4 linked regions of the Neurospora crassa OR74A genome follow. The protein of the gene in region 1 interacts with the protein of each later gene in a biochemical or structural test. Links are inferred from orthologs where the notes say so. Each region holds a gene or a part of one and is shown on either strand. Other genes may lie near its edges.

The links. The genes of interacting proteins can lie anywhere in the genome.
Region 2: the proteins of NCU02706 (region 1) and NCU06708 form a complex in vitro, tested with the Saccharomyces cerevisiae proteins (2 studies listed by BioGRID). The link is inferred for Neurospora crassa OR74A from reciprocal best matches to the Saccharomyces cerevisiae genes GOS1 and SEC22.
Region 3: the proteins of NCU02706 (region 1) and NCU03889 form a complex in vitro, tested with the Saccharomyces cerevisiae proteins (2 studies listed by BioGRID). The link is inferred for Neurospora crassa OR74A from reciprocal best matches to the Saccharomyces cerevisiae genes GOS1 and SFT1.
Region 4: the proteins of NCU02706 (region 1) and NCU08973 form a complex in vitro, tested with the Saccharomyces cerevisiae proteins (2 studies listed by BioGRID). The link is inferred for Neurospora crassa OR74A from reciprocal best matches to the Saccharomyces cerevisiae genes GOS1 and YKT6.

The regions. Positions count from the first base shown.
Region 1 is NC_026501.1:3,263,181-3,267,990, forward strand, and holds NCU02706 (protein transporter GOS1), read right to left. Parts: upstream 2,676-4,810; 5' UTR 2,357-2,675; coding exon 2,285-2,356; intron 2,220-2,284; coding exon 2,106-2,219; intron 2,037-2,105; coding exon 1,539-2,036; 3' UTR 1,151-1,538; downstream 1-1,150. Other genes in the region: NCU02705 (F1F0 ATP synthase assembly protein Atp10), read left to right, coding at 1-146, 225-912; NCU02707 (60S ribosomal protein L6), read right to left, coding at 3,576-3,728, 3,789-4,124, 4,389-4,508. UniProt on the Saccharomyces cerevisiae protein: Involved in transport from the ER to the Golgi apparatus as well as in intra-Golgi transport. It belongs to a super-family of proteins called t-SNAREs or soluble NSF (N-ethylmaleimide-sensitive factor) attachment protein receptor.
Region 2 is NC_026505.1:4,347,980-4,351,175, forward strand, and holds NCU06708 (protein transporter sec22), read left to right. Parts: upstream 1-1,389; 5' UTR 1,390-1,551; coding exon 1,552-1,585; intron 1,586-1,702; coding exon 1,703-2,322; 3' UTR 2,323-2,696; downstream 2,697-3,196. Other genes in the region: NCU06707 (uncharacterized protein), read right to left, coding at 1-266; NCU06709 (hypothetical protein), read right to left, coding at 2,956-3,196. UniProt on the Saccharomyces cerevisiae protein: Nonessential SNARE involved in targeting and fusion of ER-derived transport vesicles with the Golgi complex as well as Golgi-derived retrograde transport vesicles with the ER.
Region 3 is NC_026506.1:2,053,105-2,057,399, forward strand, and holds NCU03889 (SNARE), read left to right. Parts: upstream 1-1,495; 5' UTR 1,496-2,103; coding exon 2,104-2,238; intron 2,239-2,304; coding exon 2,305-2,466; 3' UTR 2,467-3,606; downstream 3,607-4,295. Other genes in the region: NCU03888 (DUF500 and SH3 domain-containing protein), read right to left, coding at 1-492, 551-654, 753-789; NCU03890 (stromal membrane-associated protein), read right to left, coding at 3,607-4,295. UniProt on the Saccharomyces cerevisiae protein: Vesicle SNARE required for retrograde transport within the Golgi complex.
Region 4 is NC_026503.1:4,097,510-4,101,137, forward strand, and holds NCU08973 (SNARE protein Ykt6), read right to left. Parts: upstream 2,175-3,628; 5' UTR 1,733-2,174; coding exon 1,712-1,732; intron 1,654-1,711; coding exon 1,488-1,653; intron 1,423-1,487; coding exon 1,133-1,422; intron 1,076-1,132; coding exon 956-1,075; 3' UTR 501-955; downstream 1-500. Other genes in the region: NCU16686 (hypothetical protein), read right to left, coding at 3,293-3,628.

The DNA.
Region 1 (4,810 bases):
TTCACGCCAACCCACTTGTCAAGGCCCATTGGCATGCACAACCCCCCAAATCCCGGAGAGAACACAGGAATCGACACGCGCACACTCCAGCAGAAGAGGGATGACTTTGTCAACTATGAGAAACATCTGAAGAAGCGAGAGATGCTGTGAGAACCCATCCCGACATTGGCCATGTATCTTCATCCTCCTCCCAGCTTCTTGACTAATTAGCGCTATAACATTAGCAAATCCAAAATCTCCCGCCCCTACTTCCGCGACTGGCGCAACATGCAATTTCACAAGGGCAAGACATTCCTCGCGCCGCCACGTCTCTTCAAAGCCGACCTTTCCCTGTACTTTCCCAACTTGCATGGCCGGACACTCGCCAAGGACGATGCGGCCAAGGTCGCCGACACCACACCTCTCCTAGAAGGCCACTGCTCCGTCGTCACCGTCTTCAGCAGCATGTGGGCCGAGAACCAGATCCGTACCTTTGTCTCTCCCGAAGCCAACCCAGTCCTGCAGTCGGTCCTGAAGCAGAGCGGCGGGCGCGCGCAATTGGTGCAGATCAATATTGAAGAGGATGCCATGAAGGCGTGGTTGGTCAGACTGTTTATGGGCTCGCTGCGCAAGAAGGTGGATGAGGACGACTGGAAGAGGTATTTCTTGGTCACAAAGGGGATTACGGACGAGATTCGGGAGTCAATTGGTTTGCTAAACAGCAAGGTTGGCTACACGTATCTGGTGGATCATAACTGCCGAATTCGATGGGCGGGCAGTGGTGATGCGGAGGGAGATGAGAAGGAGGGCCTGATCAAGGGCGTCCAGAGGATTTTGGACGAGATGACCAAGGAGGGTGTTGGGAAGAACTATGTGCGGAAGACAGCGGCTGTCCCTGAGTTGAAGGCAGAAGGGTCTGTTGCGGCGCAATAGGCGACCCGGAATGCCTAGGCGTAAAGATGCATTGAGATGATATGGGTGACAAAGTCTCCATTGCCCAGCTGACGTGTCACAGAGCTTTTGCTGGAACAGAAAAGCAAGGCTCGCCAAGCTCAAGGTTTCTGAGCATCGAATTCCTGCTACAGGGAAGAAGCTAATTGAGCTTACGAGCAAGCAAGTCGGCTCATCGGGGGCTGAGATGGGCGCATTTCAAAATACCACGGACGAACGGGGAAATTCTGGTCTGTTCTGGTCTGGTCTACAGCAGATGCGTCCACGAGCCATGGTTTAACCAGCAAGAATGCCGTGGACTTCTTCTTGGGTTTGTAAATTATATTATTATTTTGTAAAATCACTTTCACACTTACTTGCCTCGCAACGCCCCTGAACGCCGTAATCCCCGCCATGCTTCCCGTCAAAGTACGAAAGCCCGACACTGAAGTAGTGTGTCATGTACAGCCGCTTACGATAAGGGTTCCTGGAAGATGCGATCCTGTCGCGCTTCCAAAGATCCATAGCATGCGCTCAACAAGAAGTGAGCCGCATAACCGTCCTTGAGCAGAATTTCTCCGCTCTCTCATGTTCGTGAAGCGCTCTCCCACTTCGTTCACCACCGCCACTCAGGAGAAGAACCAGAACATCAAGAAGCAGAACGCAATGAATGAGCCCATAATAATGCCATCCCGTCTCTTCCTCGCCGATATCCTCGTGATCAGGGTATTGATTCCGGGCACCTGGCTCGCCGCAAGAGTAATTCGCCGGTTGATGTGCGCCAGCCGCTCTCGCTGGGACGCGAATGAGTCCTGCACCGCGTACGCCTGGCTCAGCACGCTGTCGGCCACATCGTGGCTGCGGTCCAGCCTGCCTCGCTCGTCCAGCATGTAGTCGGCCTCGCCTTGCTCAGGGTTGGCGGCGCGGTATGCCGAGATGTCGTCGCGCACGCTGCCTAGCAGGTTGGCACGCGTGCGGGCCGACTCGAGCGTCGACCGCAATCGGGAGAGGTCCCGCCGGTGGTCCGAGAGCTTGTCGCGCAGAAGGGAGAGGTTGTTCTGCTTGAGCGCTGAGGGGGAGGGGTCCGAGGTTAGGAGGCGGGTGAGGTGGGAGATTACGGACTCGCGCTGAAAAGACCATGTATTAGCAGTGTTCGAATTTATGTAAACAGTTTTACTTGACCTCTAAAAACTTACTTTGTCCAATAGCTCCCGTAGTCTCGTTTCCGTATGCCTTTCCTCTTCTGTCGGCTTCGGTGGGATGTTGGTCTGGTTCGAGAACTGGGCGTATGTGTGGAGGAGCATTTCGGTCTGTAAGAAAATGTTAGTCTCATGCCCTTCCCATTTCCCAAGGCCCATGACCAGTTCAGTCGTACTTGTGTTTCGAGCGATCGGGCTTGTTGTCGTAACTGGGCCCAGCCCTGGGTTGAGGATGTTGTCGCCGCCATGATGCAGTGCTGCTCCTAAGCTATTGGGGCAAGATCGATGAATTTCAACGGATGCGATTCGTCCGAGTTGCCTGAAGGCGGCACTCTTGGCGGGAGGAGAATATGATGTGGTTTGAATTTATAAAATTGTCTGTAATAGTAGTGGTAAGGTTGATCAGGACAGGTCAACCGGTGGAGGATCCTAGATCAGACGTAAATGGTCGTGATGATGATGATTGATGCTTGCACGGCAGAGATGTGGCTTTGTTAGTGGAAGAAGTTCAGTTACGTATCGGCAGGCGCCACAGTTACATGTCCACTGTACCGTAGCGGCCTGGGTCGACTCTTCAGCTGAGCTGCTGCAGAACGACAGAGCTGAAGATAGGGCTTCACCACGTAGGGGACCCGACGATACATTCCATGTCACCTTATGCCAGGTGTCAGCGCCTCGGCACTGGCAGCTGATGCACATCTCAAGAGTCTAGGCCAAGCATGACATCAAGGTTCATACAACTACTATCACGCGAGATATCTGCGGACCGTACCGTTCTCCCGTCTGAACAGTGGTAGACATCAACTGCGGCCGTGAACGTTGGCGCGAGTTCATAACCATCACGGTTGATGACACTGAAGTTGTTGGACGCGGCGGACACGATTAATCAGCACACATATAGACATGCGAGCGAAGATACCTCAGCTATTGTTGAAAGACATATGACAGAAGGGCCAAGCCATGTTTACACGGGCTTTGTAAAGTGCTGATAAATCGCAAAGACTCACCATACAGTCGTCGTAGCTGTTCACTGAATACGTGTGATTCGCAGACATACACCGACGCAATGAGAGACGCAGTTTCGCACATAGAACGCACGAAGGATATCAATGGTCGAGTATGCGGTAGGCGCAGTAAATAGCATCTGTAGGTATTGATCTTCCGCTCTTTGGACGGATCCCTAATCGCATGGTTTGGTGCGATACCAGGAGGAACAGGCTCTCTGCGAGAGTCGAGTGCCTTCACGAGCCCCCTGTACATTGTCATGGGGCGTCCCCAATGCCTCGAGTTTCGCTCGTGACCCGTATCCTCTGCAAACCGAAAGCCGTATTTTACCATCCTGATGACTGTAAACCCTCATAACAGACGCCGTAATGGACCCGAGAACCGTCAACGTCCAAATGCAACTGACCGAGCCATACCGCGAACCGCACCCGCATGCAGTCCCCTAGCACCCATGCCCACAATCTACCACTTCATCTCGTGGGGCTTGTCACCCTTGCGGAGGGTGAAAGAAGAGGCGAGGTAGCTGGCGAGGAACTCGACCTTCTTGATGTTGGCGATGAGGGCCTTGTCGATGGCCTTCTGGTCGGCAACGCGGCTGCTGGAAACCTCCTTCTTCTGCATCACTATGTCAGCATTGTGCGCCCCGTGTTCCAGCTCGGAATTCCCAAGTCGTACCTGGGGCTTCTCGCCCTGCTTGAAGAAAGCCTCCTCACCAGCCTTCTCCTTGGACTTCTCGGCGGTGAAGTACTTGGGCTGAGCGATCTCGTTGATCTTGGCCTCGTCGATGCCAGCGAGATCGACCTTCTGGGAAGTGGCGATGACGTAGCGGGCGTTGACGCGACGGAGGGGAACACCGTTGATCTTGAAAGGGCCGGTGACGAGAAGAACACCCTGGTCGAGAGCCTTGAGGAGGACGACGCGCTTGCCACGGAAACGGCCAGCGAGGAGGATCAGGACGGTGCCGGGGACGAGGGTGCTGCGGGGAGACCACGGGCGGATGGTCTTGCGGACCTGTAGAGAACATGGTAGTTAGAATCAGTTGTATTCGCAGAGTTTGGGAATGTCCGCCTCTTGTCGTCGCCTCCACGACATGCACTTTGCGGTCCAAAGTCCAAAATCGCAGCAAGTGCTGCCGCCCTCCACTTGCGCCCTGGTTGTCCCCATTTCCGCGCCAAATCGATAACCGCCAAACCGGCCGCAATTCCACCAAGTGCATCTCGCGATACTTCGCCAAAAACGTCGCCGGTCGCTTGGAAAACTTGTGCATGCACGTACCTTGCGAGGCTGGGCCTCATCCTCAGCAGGGTACCATTTCTGGGCCTTCTCGGACGAGTGAGGGACCGTCCGGGTCGCCTTGCCAAAGGTCTTCGTCTGGGGAGCCGCCGCGGACGACATTGTGTGGACTTTGGCTGGGTGGTGAGGTTAGTGCAGAATCGTCGTCAACTTCCTGACTGCTGCTCGAGATTTTAGAAATGTTGGAGTGGCCCCGGTTGTGTGCATGTTACGAAGACCCAAACCCCAAGCTAACCGCATTGGGATTTTGCGGGACCGTTCACCTTTGGCAGGCGGCAACGCACGGGCCACCTCGGAAACGGTAGGGTTTTCCGCCCTCCCTGCGATTTTGCGCATCCACACCTCTCAGATTTTGTTGGATAGCGAGTGCCTGAAGACCGCGATCCTCTGATACTTGTCGTGGT
Region 2 (3,196 bases), on another chromosome or scaffold:
GCTGGTTCCTCGACTGCTGGTTCCTCGACTGCTGGTTCCTCGACTGCTGGTTCCTCGACTGCTGGTTCCTCGACTGCTGGTTCCTCAACTGCTGGTTCCTCGACCGTTGACTTTTCGGCTGCTATCTCCTCCAAAGTCACCTGCGCAGCAGTATCAATCTTTTGGACAAGGATAGCATCCCAGTCCCCACTCACGCTCCGGGGAGGTGAGGCCGGAGGAGAAGAGAGGACGGAGGACAGCGGAGAACTACTTCCTTCTTCAGCCATCCTTCAGGACACCTTCAGTTAGTCGCCTTTCTGGAAAGATAATTATTGCGTGTTGAAGTTGTTCAAGGAGTGATCGAACGCGGCAGTGTGGGTTTGCCGGCAAAGGAAAAATTACCGTCAAGTCAGATCTGGATCTAGACAGATCCGGAACTACTTAGTTGTTGTGATATTAAACAATACCAGATAGCAGAAACTGGCAGAATGGCGCCGTGAAAGTCACCGTTTGTCTTTCGTAAGTCAATGATGGTTCATGCGGCCAATATGGCTGTGGTTACATCTGCGAACAAACTGATGTCTGGTGGAAGGGAGGGGAGAAAGTGGGGGGTTTATAAAAGTAGAGAATGAGATGCGTTCAGGTGAAAATGTGGTCAACGAAACGAACCGAAGTGGTACTACCTTGAGTACAAGTTGACGCGCAAGGTTGGGAGGATGTGCGAGGGAACGAGGTGGAACTGAACTTGATCTAACCACCACTCTGAACTGGGAGGGGGATTATACTGACTGTGATGAATGATAGGTACCTCTAGGTAAGTAGGTAGATATTCCACCTCCAGCTCCCCTTCCCCGATGTTGTTCGGTTGAAGATGCTCCTTCTTCAAGTCGTTGTGTGATGGACAGGATGGGTGGGGATGGAAGCTGAAAGGCGCCAAGCCCGGGCAGCCACTTGCATGACACACCCCGGAAGCTAGAGGTAGCTTGTACATACTGCATAGTAGGCGTGAATAGCGGGCCGGGCGAGACTGCCTGCTCGCACTATTTAACTACCTAAACAAAACTAACTTGCAGGCCCTGCAGGGTGAACTTTCAACACATTTCCAGCGGCAGTACCGTCATCAGTGTCCCGTTTGACGACTTGTAATCCTTGATAAGGAAACACACGTTGGCCTGGCGAAATCATTGCATCACTCTACCTACGGGTAATGTTTTGTTTTCTTTATATAGCCATGTAAAGAAAAAAAAAAAACAAGAAAGAGGATAGCGAATTACAATCTGGTCTGCTGGTCGACAGGGAAAGAAGCATGCAATTGAACAAGAGAATTCGTCGGTGCGAGTTGGTTGCGGTACCTAGGTAGAAGCCACGTACCTGGCTGCTTTTGACGGATCACTCCCACTCGTCATCACAAGCTTTTATAAACCTTGCCTTGTTCACTGTCCTCTCCAACGACACCAACTTAACAAATCCAAGCACGCAACTGAACTGGCCTTGATTTCGAGTTGCACAACGATACTAAAGGTCGCCAAAAACAACACAATGAAAAAGGAGTGATATAACCTATTCTTCACAATGATCCGCTCAACACAAATTGCACGGCTGGATGGTTCGTGCCCCCCCCCCCCCCCCCCCTAACTAACCCCCTCGACCAACATCTGTGTGCCTATGGAGATGTCAATGTCTTGTCCGGTAGCTAACCAAGACCCCTCCCCTCAAAACACAGGCCTCATGCTCTGCGCTTCCGTCGACGACGAAGCAACTGAATCCTCCCTCAGCGAAGTCAAGTCCCAAGTCAAACTAATTCTGCGCCGCCTAACGCGCACCTCGGAACCGCAAGCCAGCATCGAGAGCGGCTCTCTCTACACGCTGCACTACCTGATTCAGTCCGACATCGTATACTTCGCCATTACGGACCGGTCGTACCCGCGCAAGCTAGCCTTCACCTACCTTTCCGACATTGCGGGCGAGTTCGCGACGACGCACACCCCGGCACAGCTCATGAACCCGACGCTGCGGCCCTATGCCTTTATGGACTTTGACAGCTTCATCAGCCGCACCAAGGCGACTTACAGCGACACGCGTGCGACTCAGAACCTGGATAAGCTGCATGATGAGCTTAGGGACGTGACCAAAGTCATGACCAAGAACATTGAGGATCTGCTGTACCGCGGCGACAGCCTGGAGCGCATGGGCGAGCTGAGCAGTAGGCTGAGGGACGATAGCAAGAAGTACAAGAGGGCGGCTGTTAAGATCAACTGGGATTTGCTGCTGAAGCAGTACGGCCCCTTTGCGGCGGTCGGTTCCATTATCATCTTCTTCTTGTGGTGGAGATTCTTCTTTTGAGTGCATCCCAGGCAGGGAGCATCACCGGTAGCGGGTTAGCATGATACCGTCGGGTGGGTTTCCTCAGTCAGCCTGGCTCTGTATGATGCTGTGACGGATAGCCTACGTGGATTCTGTAATTATTTTAATATGTGTTTGTAGGGCATTGGTTTTTGGCGCTTGACCTAGCATGGAGTTTGGGTAAAGGAGGTTGGGGGGAAAGGGGGGCAAACGCAAAAGGACGTTTGGCCAGGTGAGGTTTCAGCTATCAAGACATGTTGCTTATAGGTTCCTGCTTTCCACTCCTTCATCCGATGCCTTCCTAAAGCCTGACAAGGTCTCTATGGATGACTGTACCACAGTGTCACCGATGCTCAATCATGCGTATCTCCTGGTTCATTCCAGACCGGCATCTCTTCTGCTCGACACGCTATTTCTGTCAAGCGATGATACAAAATCTCCATCTGAGATAGCCTATCGGTCTCTTTCCCTACTTGAAGTAGAAGCTCTTGCCCCCCCAAACTCCAATTCCAAACCCGTTTTTTTTTTTTTTTCTTTTTTTCAATTTTGTTGTTCTCAATCCAGAACATAAACCGACACCCTGGACACTAAGCCCAAGCTTGAACCACCCGCACACGCACCCGCAAGCCTCAATCACATAATCAAACAACTCCCCGCCGCCTTTGGCAATAACGCCGGTATACTCGGCACCGGCAACGCCGTATGATACCATTCCAAATGCTCCTGGAAGCTGGCCAAGTCCTCGAACCCCCTCTCGTCCTGTGCCCACTTGACCTCGTCCTCGCTGTCCTCACCCTGGTCCACGTACGTGTATTCGTCGCAGTAGGGACACCATATCCTCGCCAGCCAATCGCCAGGGACGGGGGCAATGTGG
Region 3 (4,295 bases), on another chromosome or scaffold:
CAGAATGCTGAGGAGAGGAGCGGCTTGCGGCGGGGGGCGCTCGGCTCCTGAAAGGAGCTCCTTGGCGGAAACCTGACGACCATAGAGCTTTGCATTGGCGTCTTTTCGCTCGATTATCATAGAACCTTCGAGAGACACGCCAGCAAACAAGCCCTTGGTCTTGGAATAACTGAAGATGCCCGCTACGCTTCTCAGCGAAGCGGCTCCGGCGGCCTCGGCATTTCTACCGACAGGCCCGGCCGCGACCGAAACGTTACCACCAAGTGTAAGTGACCCAGCTTGGGCGAAGGTTTTTACGGCGCTCGCGTCGTTGAGAATGAAAACGAAATCTGTAAGCTCGAAACCGATCTGACCGCCGAAGCCGGCACCACCCGTAGCAATGGCGGTGGGGGCAGACCAGCTGCCGTCGGGGAGGCGGGCGACTACCAGGCCGCTACCGAAACGGGCAGATCCGAGGAAACCAGCTTTGATGACGGTGAGTATAGCAAGACCCTAGGAGAACGTTAACCACCTGGTCGCTTTCGTTGAGGTTGCGGATGCTGTTTCGTACCTTGGCATTCGCGAGCACTGATGGCGGTATCACCTTGTCGGGACCAAAGGCTTGTTTGGGCTCGATGAAGGAGGCGAGGATTTTACCGCACTTCTTACATTCCGCTGGTTACAGACGTGTTAGGATGTCGGATTCGGCGAAGCGAAGGGGAGTTGCGGGGTCGGGCTCGCACAGCACGGGAACCCCGGGGACACAAACTCACACGAAAGTGACGACGGAAGAGGGTTGTTGATACCCATCTTGAAGTGTCGAAGCGGAACTCCCTATAGCGGACTGGCGCGGGTCTTGAAGGGCGAGGGCGTGTAGAGCGGCTGCGGTGAGAATGCCGTGGAAATGCGACAGCGACAGCGAAATATTAGAAAGAAAGAAAGAGATGGAGTTCGTCAGTCATTTCTCGGGACACTGGCCGATCAATGCCTGCAGGCACACTGGCAGGCAAGCAAGTAAGCAGATCAGCCCGGTCAATTTCTTGTGTACATAGTAAATGCGAGGTTGGTACCTGGGCGTCCCCACAACGGCGGTTTGTCAAGATGCTGGGGAGATCCTTGGGGTCACTTGTTGTTCGTGATGAACGATCTTGTTCCCGGAGGATAAGCCTTTGTGCGTGCTCTTTTGTTGGTGTAACTGTCCGTTTGAGAGTTTGTTTTTTTCCCTCTTCTTCACAGATCGGAGTAACTGATGAGCGAGGCTAAACAGTGGCATGGAATTCATCACAGTCAACATTTGAAATGGAAGTACTTGGAAATGGAAGCTGGAGCTCGTGCCGCGCGTCATGTGAGAACTGTAGCACTGGACCCTCAATCACTGGAGACGCTGGGATGGGCTTGGGCAAGCACTGCCGCCGTGGGCTGTGCAGTAGCGTACACTACTGTACCTCTACTTCTCTACTTTACTCCGTCCCTGCGCCCTGCACCTTCCACTTTGAATACCCGGGCCTTGTCCAGCGGGCAGAGCAGAGCGGGCGTTCGTCGTTACGTAGGTGACTGACTGACGGGACCCAAAGTTGCAGTGGCCCGACCACGAGCACAATCAAATGGCTCCAGCAGGCTCCGCTCCCCCCGAAAAAGACCCCGCATTGACCATGCATGTGCTTTACGCGCAGCCACACGTAAATGGCCGAAACTGACATCATTCGCGACTAGGAGGCCGTAGCTGTGGCTGGTGTATGCATCAACAAGCTGCAGTGAGCCGGCCGCCCCCATCATGATGGATGCATGATCCCGGTGTCCTTTCATTGTGACCCTGAACTGAGTGCATCTGGAACCTGCTACAACCTACCCCCTTTTGACATCCCCATAGCACTCAGCAATACCTAGGAACACCACGGCTTCACTCCGAACAACGGACGCTGCAAGACACCGAAGCCGACCCCCGCGCGCGCGACAAAATAACACGTAATAACATCTTCGATAATACGAAACTCGGGCCATATCAGCGAGTTCCAATTAACCCGATACTCAAAACTGACGAGTGAACCTCCCACACGGCCGCTGAGCGAGTCGCAACATACAACTACGACCACAACACAACCCCCCCCCATTACCATTATCAAGATGTCCGCAAACTACGAGCGCGAGCGCCAAAATAATGCGCGCCTCGACGAGCTAGCCTCCAAGGTTTCTGCCCTTCGAGGTGTAACGATTGACATTTACGACCAGGCGCGCAACCACGAAGTTATCGACCAAACGGTACGGTTCCTTTGATTTTACTCTGCACAAAATAACAAACTGACAAGTCCCACCAACAACGAACAGACCGATACCTTCTCCTCCATGGGCTCTCAACTCAAAGGTTCCGCCACCCGTCTAGGCCGCATGGCCGCATCGGGGAACAAGGTCGCCATTCTCAAGCTCTCGGGTATTCTTATTGGGAGCTTCCTGGTCATTTACTATCTTTATCGACTTTTTGTTGGTTAAATGATTCAAAAAGTCACGACGTGTGAGAGGGCTAAAGTCGTTTGAATATTGGGTCTATTGGGTCTATTGAACTTCGACATGCGAATACATGCCAGGAAGCAAAAGGAAGGGAGGTTCTCTTCATCGGGTTCACTACAACAACACAGGGCGAAGGATGTAGAGGGCGGCACGATTCGATTCCCGACAAATATCAGGAATGATAAGACGGATGCGTGCGAAGCCGGACATCAAGACAGGATGGAGCTTGTCCGGATAGCTTGTTGGATGTTGGAGTGCTGGTACAGGCGATGTGCAGTCCGCTTGCTCCCACAAAAGCCGCTACTAGTATTGCGCAGAGGAGGTGCAATGTAGGGTGGGGCAATGGGTGGGAGGGTAGCAGGTCACGCAGGACCGTAGGTCTGTGTTTTGGTGGATTCTGAACGAAGTGTGGATTTTGGTTTACAGACTGGGCTTAATGTTTTGTCTCGACAACAGACGGGTAGATGCAAAGGCATAGCAATGGCGTTGACGGTTCGGTTTTGTTTGTTTATTTGGGATTTGGTTTCTGCGTACCTTAGGTTGTCATTGATACGTCGTGTCGTATAAGCCAGACATCGACATTTCTCAGTCTCATCCTTGATTTTTCATTTTGAAACTTCAAGGACATCAGAAGGACATTAATGAGGGCAACACACACCTTACAAAAGATAGGAGGATCCTATATAAAAGTGCATTACTTTTGCCCTACCAACGAACAATAACTTGTTGTCTATAATGTAAATATGCCAAAACAAAACATGACTTGCTGATGTAAGAATGACTGCGTTGTTCATCATTCCCCTATTTGTCACGCATAAACCATCATTTGCCTAACTCTTAACTAGATCAGACTCCCACAGCATAAGTACGACATGGTGTTCGTGGATAGCATCCCCTTTCCAGTCAGGTGGTATAGAAGGAAAAACAAGTTCGGACGCTTGATGGGTTTGGTTTGGTTTGGTATAAGTTTGTCCGAGCTATTTCTCACATCACCTGCCGGTTGATTATATATTTACATGGTCGGCATCAGGCGCGAGGACAACAGCAAAAATCCCAGTAGACTGCACTCGGTTACCTCTGAACCCCATGTCGGAGATCCCTGAATTGTCGTTCTAAGGTTTCTTATTGCCAGACGTTTGAGAACAGGTCGTCACTGCCACCAAAACCGGTAGCCGGCTTGGATCCGCTCGGAGCAGCTGGTGTGGTAGTGCTGCTCATCCAGCCCCCAAACTCCTCATCGGCCGCCACCTTTGGTGCTGGGGCAAAGCCGCCCGAAGCGCTGGGGACAATAGGTTGGCTTGCGAAGGAGCCGCCGGTAGTGGAGGAGGTGGTGGTGCTGTTGCCCCATCCAAAATCGTTAGAAAGAGGGATAGAGGTAACAGGTGCTGGCTTGGGCGGTTCAGGAGCCGCAGGCTTGGGGGGCTCAGGGGCGGAGGCCCACTCGTTGGAACCCCATACACCTGCATCTGACCAGGCGTTAGACGTCGCAATAGAGGCAAGAGGGTTTGGTGTTGTTGAAGTAACGGCTGCAGGGGCCGGCGTGGTTGCGGCGGGCTTGGAAAGGTTGAATGCGGAGCTGAAGTCAGATGAAGGCTTCGGGGCGGCGGCCGAGGGAGGAGCGGTAGTAGCAGTAGCTGTTGTGGAAAAGTCAAACAGGTCACCGAGGGCGGAGGAAGCGGGCGCGGGCTTAGAGGCTGGCGCAGGAGGAGGGGTTGATGAGAAGCCCAGTGGGCTGCTGATGGACTGCTTGGATTGGTGGGAGGATGTGGCGGGCTTGGAATCGAAGAAGCTGCCACCGCTTAGGCCGGAAA
Region 4 (3,628 bases), on another chromosome or scaffold:
AAGGCGCGACATCAGGTAGGAGCGCCTCTGCCACCCCGCACATTTACAGTCTCAGTTTCCTATGATGTTGTTCGAACCCCAGCTTGCATCCAACGTCTGTAGTGCACATGAGTAGACGCCGACGGAGCCGATATAAGATCGGCATGGAGGAAGATCCGTACGCAATGCCGCCATCATCGATCAGCTCAATTGATGCTGCTGCGTAGTCTTGTAGTTTGAATCTCAACGTTTCCATTCATATCTTCAAAAGAGTCTTTTTGGCTGGGCTAGCTTGAGAGGGATAACAACCCCTAGAATATACCATAGTGTACATTAGTTACGACTCGCACAGTTTACGCCACTACGGCGTGGCGGACAAGGTCGTCATCACTGCAACCGAATGTCGTGACTGGGGAACCCGACCGCTTCGCTTGTGTCGGCCCATCACATAATCTTTGAGGGCGGATGTCGTATGAAACTAACGGGTATGCAAGAAACGGAGCGAAGATCTCTCAGATAAGTGCGCAGCCTCGGGTTCGACACATAACAAATCTATAACAGGACTACCTACATCTGGTAGTCGAAGTATGTATTTCACAGCTTTAGCGCCAAACAGTGGTCAATCTTTCACAGTTTCGGGTATGTACCACACAACAATGAATATGAGAAAGGGTATATTGCAGGTTGAATTAGAAGTTTAGCATTCTCAGAGCCCACGAAGCCGTCAAGGTAAGTGGCTTTCACATATCCAAAGCGGCTACTGTAAGGCCCTCTGTCGTCAGTAGCCAAACTGCAACCTGCGCGGAAACCAAAAGCTGAATTAGAAGAGACCCCCACCAGTGCCTCGAAGACAACGAGGGGTCAGTCGCTCTTTGTATTTGGGTAGGGGGAACGTTGCGGTCGATGGCATATATCAGTGCGGCTGACTAAAAGCGAAGACAGTCGCGCGTGGTTGGTTGGTATTGATGAACGATCTTTACATAACCAGGCAGCACGAGTTCTGCTTCTTCGCACTCTGGTAGAACATCTTGCTCTGCGCACTCAGGTCGGAACTCTTGGCAACCAGGTCGTCGAGCTTCTCGCCTCGTTGCAAAACCTAAAACTAGGTTAGCATGTTATATAGAGCATTGCTACCCTCTGTGAATGGACATACGCTATCAATTGCCTTGTGTAGGACGATCTTGGTCTCGTCGAGCTCTTGCTGGATCTTTGCAATGCTGCTCGCGTTGTTGGCATCTTGGTAGTCGCGAAGGTACTGCTCGATGGCCGGGAAAGGGATGTCGCCGTCGTTCTTGGCGGCGTTTATCGTGGCAACCGGCTTCTCCGAGAGAAACTGGTCCATGAGCTTGGAAAGGACACTGTGGGCGGCGATAGGAGGGTAGTCCTTGGTGATGACGACACCGCAAACACCCTCGGAGCGGGCATAGGCGTGGATAATATAATCTGTTCGGACACCACCTAGTCAGCTAGGCACATGTATGCGAGCAGAGAGTTCACCATAGACGCACCTTGCTCCTCAACACTTTGCCTCTGGCCAGGCTTCGTCCTCTCTGCGACAGTCCTGCTGATCATGGTCATGAAGTTCTTGTATTGGTCTCGTGTGAACCTGGAGAAGTCGCTAAGCTCGTGGGCACCGCAGAGCTGCACCGCAGGCTGCTCGGTGTTTTTGTAGATCTTGTTCGCGGTCAGCAGGTACCTTCTTGTACCCCCTATGAAAGCAGCCGTATCTTACACCAATGTAGTAGAGCTTCATGGTAGCGGTATTTGAAACGTCCCCGAGGTTTTGTTGTGGTCGTGTTTCAGAGCTTTGGCGCAAATCAGGCGAGTATCGCTGTTGATGGTTCCTGACTGTACACGATGATGTTGATGTCTCGCGTTGGGATAGAGAGAGCCGATGTGATGGCGTGGGGAGCAATGAGGTCTGGAATTGCCGAATCGTAGGGTTCGTCGTTAGATTAGGTTAATGGATTGTAAGTTGCGATGGTTTGGTCAAGGAAGCGCGTCGCTGTGTCGGTCGTGGTTCGGGCTCGACGATTGTCGATGGATTAGGGGGAGGGGTTTGATAGACGACGCGCGATCGATGGCGGCAATGGCGATGCGATGAGGTATCGATGGAATCAAGCTGTTGTTCGAGGCTGAATGGCGATGTGTCGAAGCCAACCACAGCCGTCCGCTTCTTGTTGGGCCAGGCCATCGAGACCCATGCCCTCTGGGCTGGAACAGCACCGTCAGGCGGGCGTCGGCCAAACACCGCCCCGCTAGCACATGTTAGTGCCAATGCTACTATAGGAAGACCTTGTCCTAACACGGGCTCTTGTTGCATCTCCGTGTCCTTTCATTTGCTTTTTGTTCAACCATGATTGACATGTGCAATGACGACTAAGACGACTACTCAGATCCCTACAATCGCACTTGTCAAGAACATCTTCCTGGAACATTGAACAAAAGTTTCCAAGGGGACGGACTGATGATGTGGAAGGTGATTAGAAAGCACAAACAGAACAAGCGGAACGCCGGCCCATGCTTCTAACGAGGTTTCCTGAAGCGAAAAAAGGGTCTTTGGTGTACAGTGTTCACCCGCGAAGCGAATATGTTTGACATGCACTCTGCTCCGAGTCTGGAAGGGATCGCGGACCTCTCAACGAGTATTACCCCTATGAGGCACATAGTATATGATTCCACGACTACCCAGTATAAAATACTATGGAGCAAAACTCCTTCGAGTCAGACGGATGGGATCGATGCCTTGAATGACCTTTTCGAGAACAAAGTCATCGATCCTCTCCACCAGGTCCGGATATTACACCGCGCGGATTTCCACCTCGTGTCGGATCTCGAAGCCTTTCGGGTACATATCATTCATGGTCGCACAAATGTAACTACACACATATGACCATCGAACCGCCTTGCCCACGCGTCTGTACATCACCAATAATGTAAAGCTGGACATGAACTTCTGGCCGAGAGATCGTCAGACTGGTGAAGCTAGAAGTCTTCCTACCAAAAGTTGACCTTGATGGAACAACAACCATCAAGACCCGTAGTCGTAGTGTATGTAATGACGAGGAGATGGCTCAAAGAGGAAAACCAAGCCGTAGTGTAGTGTACTATGTAGTGTAGTGTCGTGTAGACAAGCCTAGGAAAGAGACAGGGGGGGTTCGTGAAGTGGCCGGCACATGCGTCGGTTCCTCCTTCCACCTACACTACACCAGATTTGGACGCCGGCGATGCCTGTGGTGCTCCACCGCTTTTTGCACCGATTAGGACAAGCCCAGTGAGCTGTGGCTCTTCGCCATTCGTTTCCCCAGCGATCTCACTCTGCCGTCGCGGTGCCGTTCGCTTGTGAGATGGAAGAGGAACGGGCGGGATGCTGGGGGACGTTGGGACGGCGACGAAGCGCAGTGGACACTAGACTCTCTGCAGTGGGTTCGCAGTGCAGTGGGTGGGTGGACCCGCTGCTGCAGACCAGGGCCGAGCCAATCCCATTGGCTTTAAAGGCAAGTCCAGGGTGCAACGTCTTGCCGGGCAGTCGGGCGTAACCTGGACAGGAACCATCGTTCGCTCTTGGCTCGCTTGGCTCGCACTCGTCTGCTCCGTTGATTGACGAAGTCGACCTTCCCGACGCGACCTCGTCCCCCCTGGTCAGCTT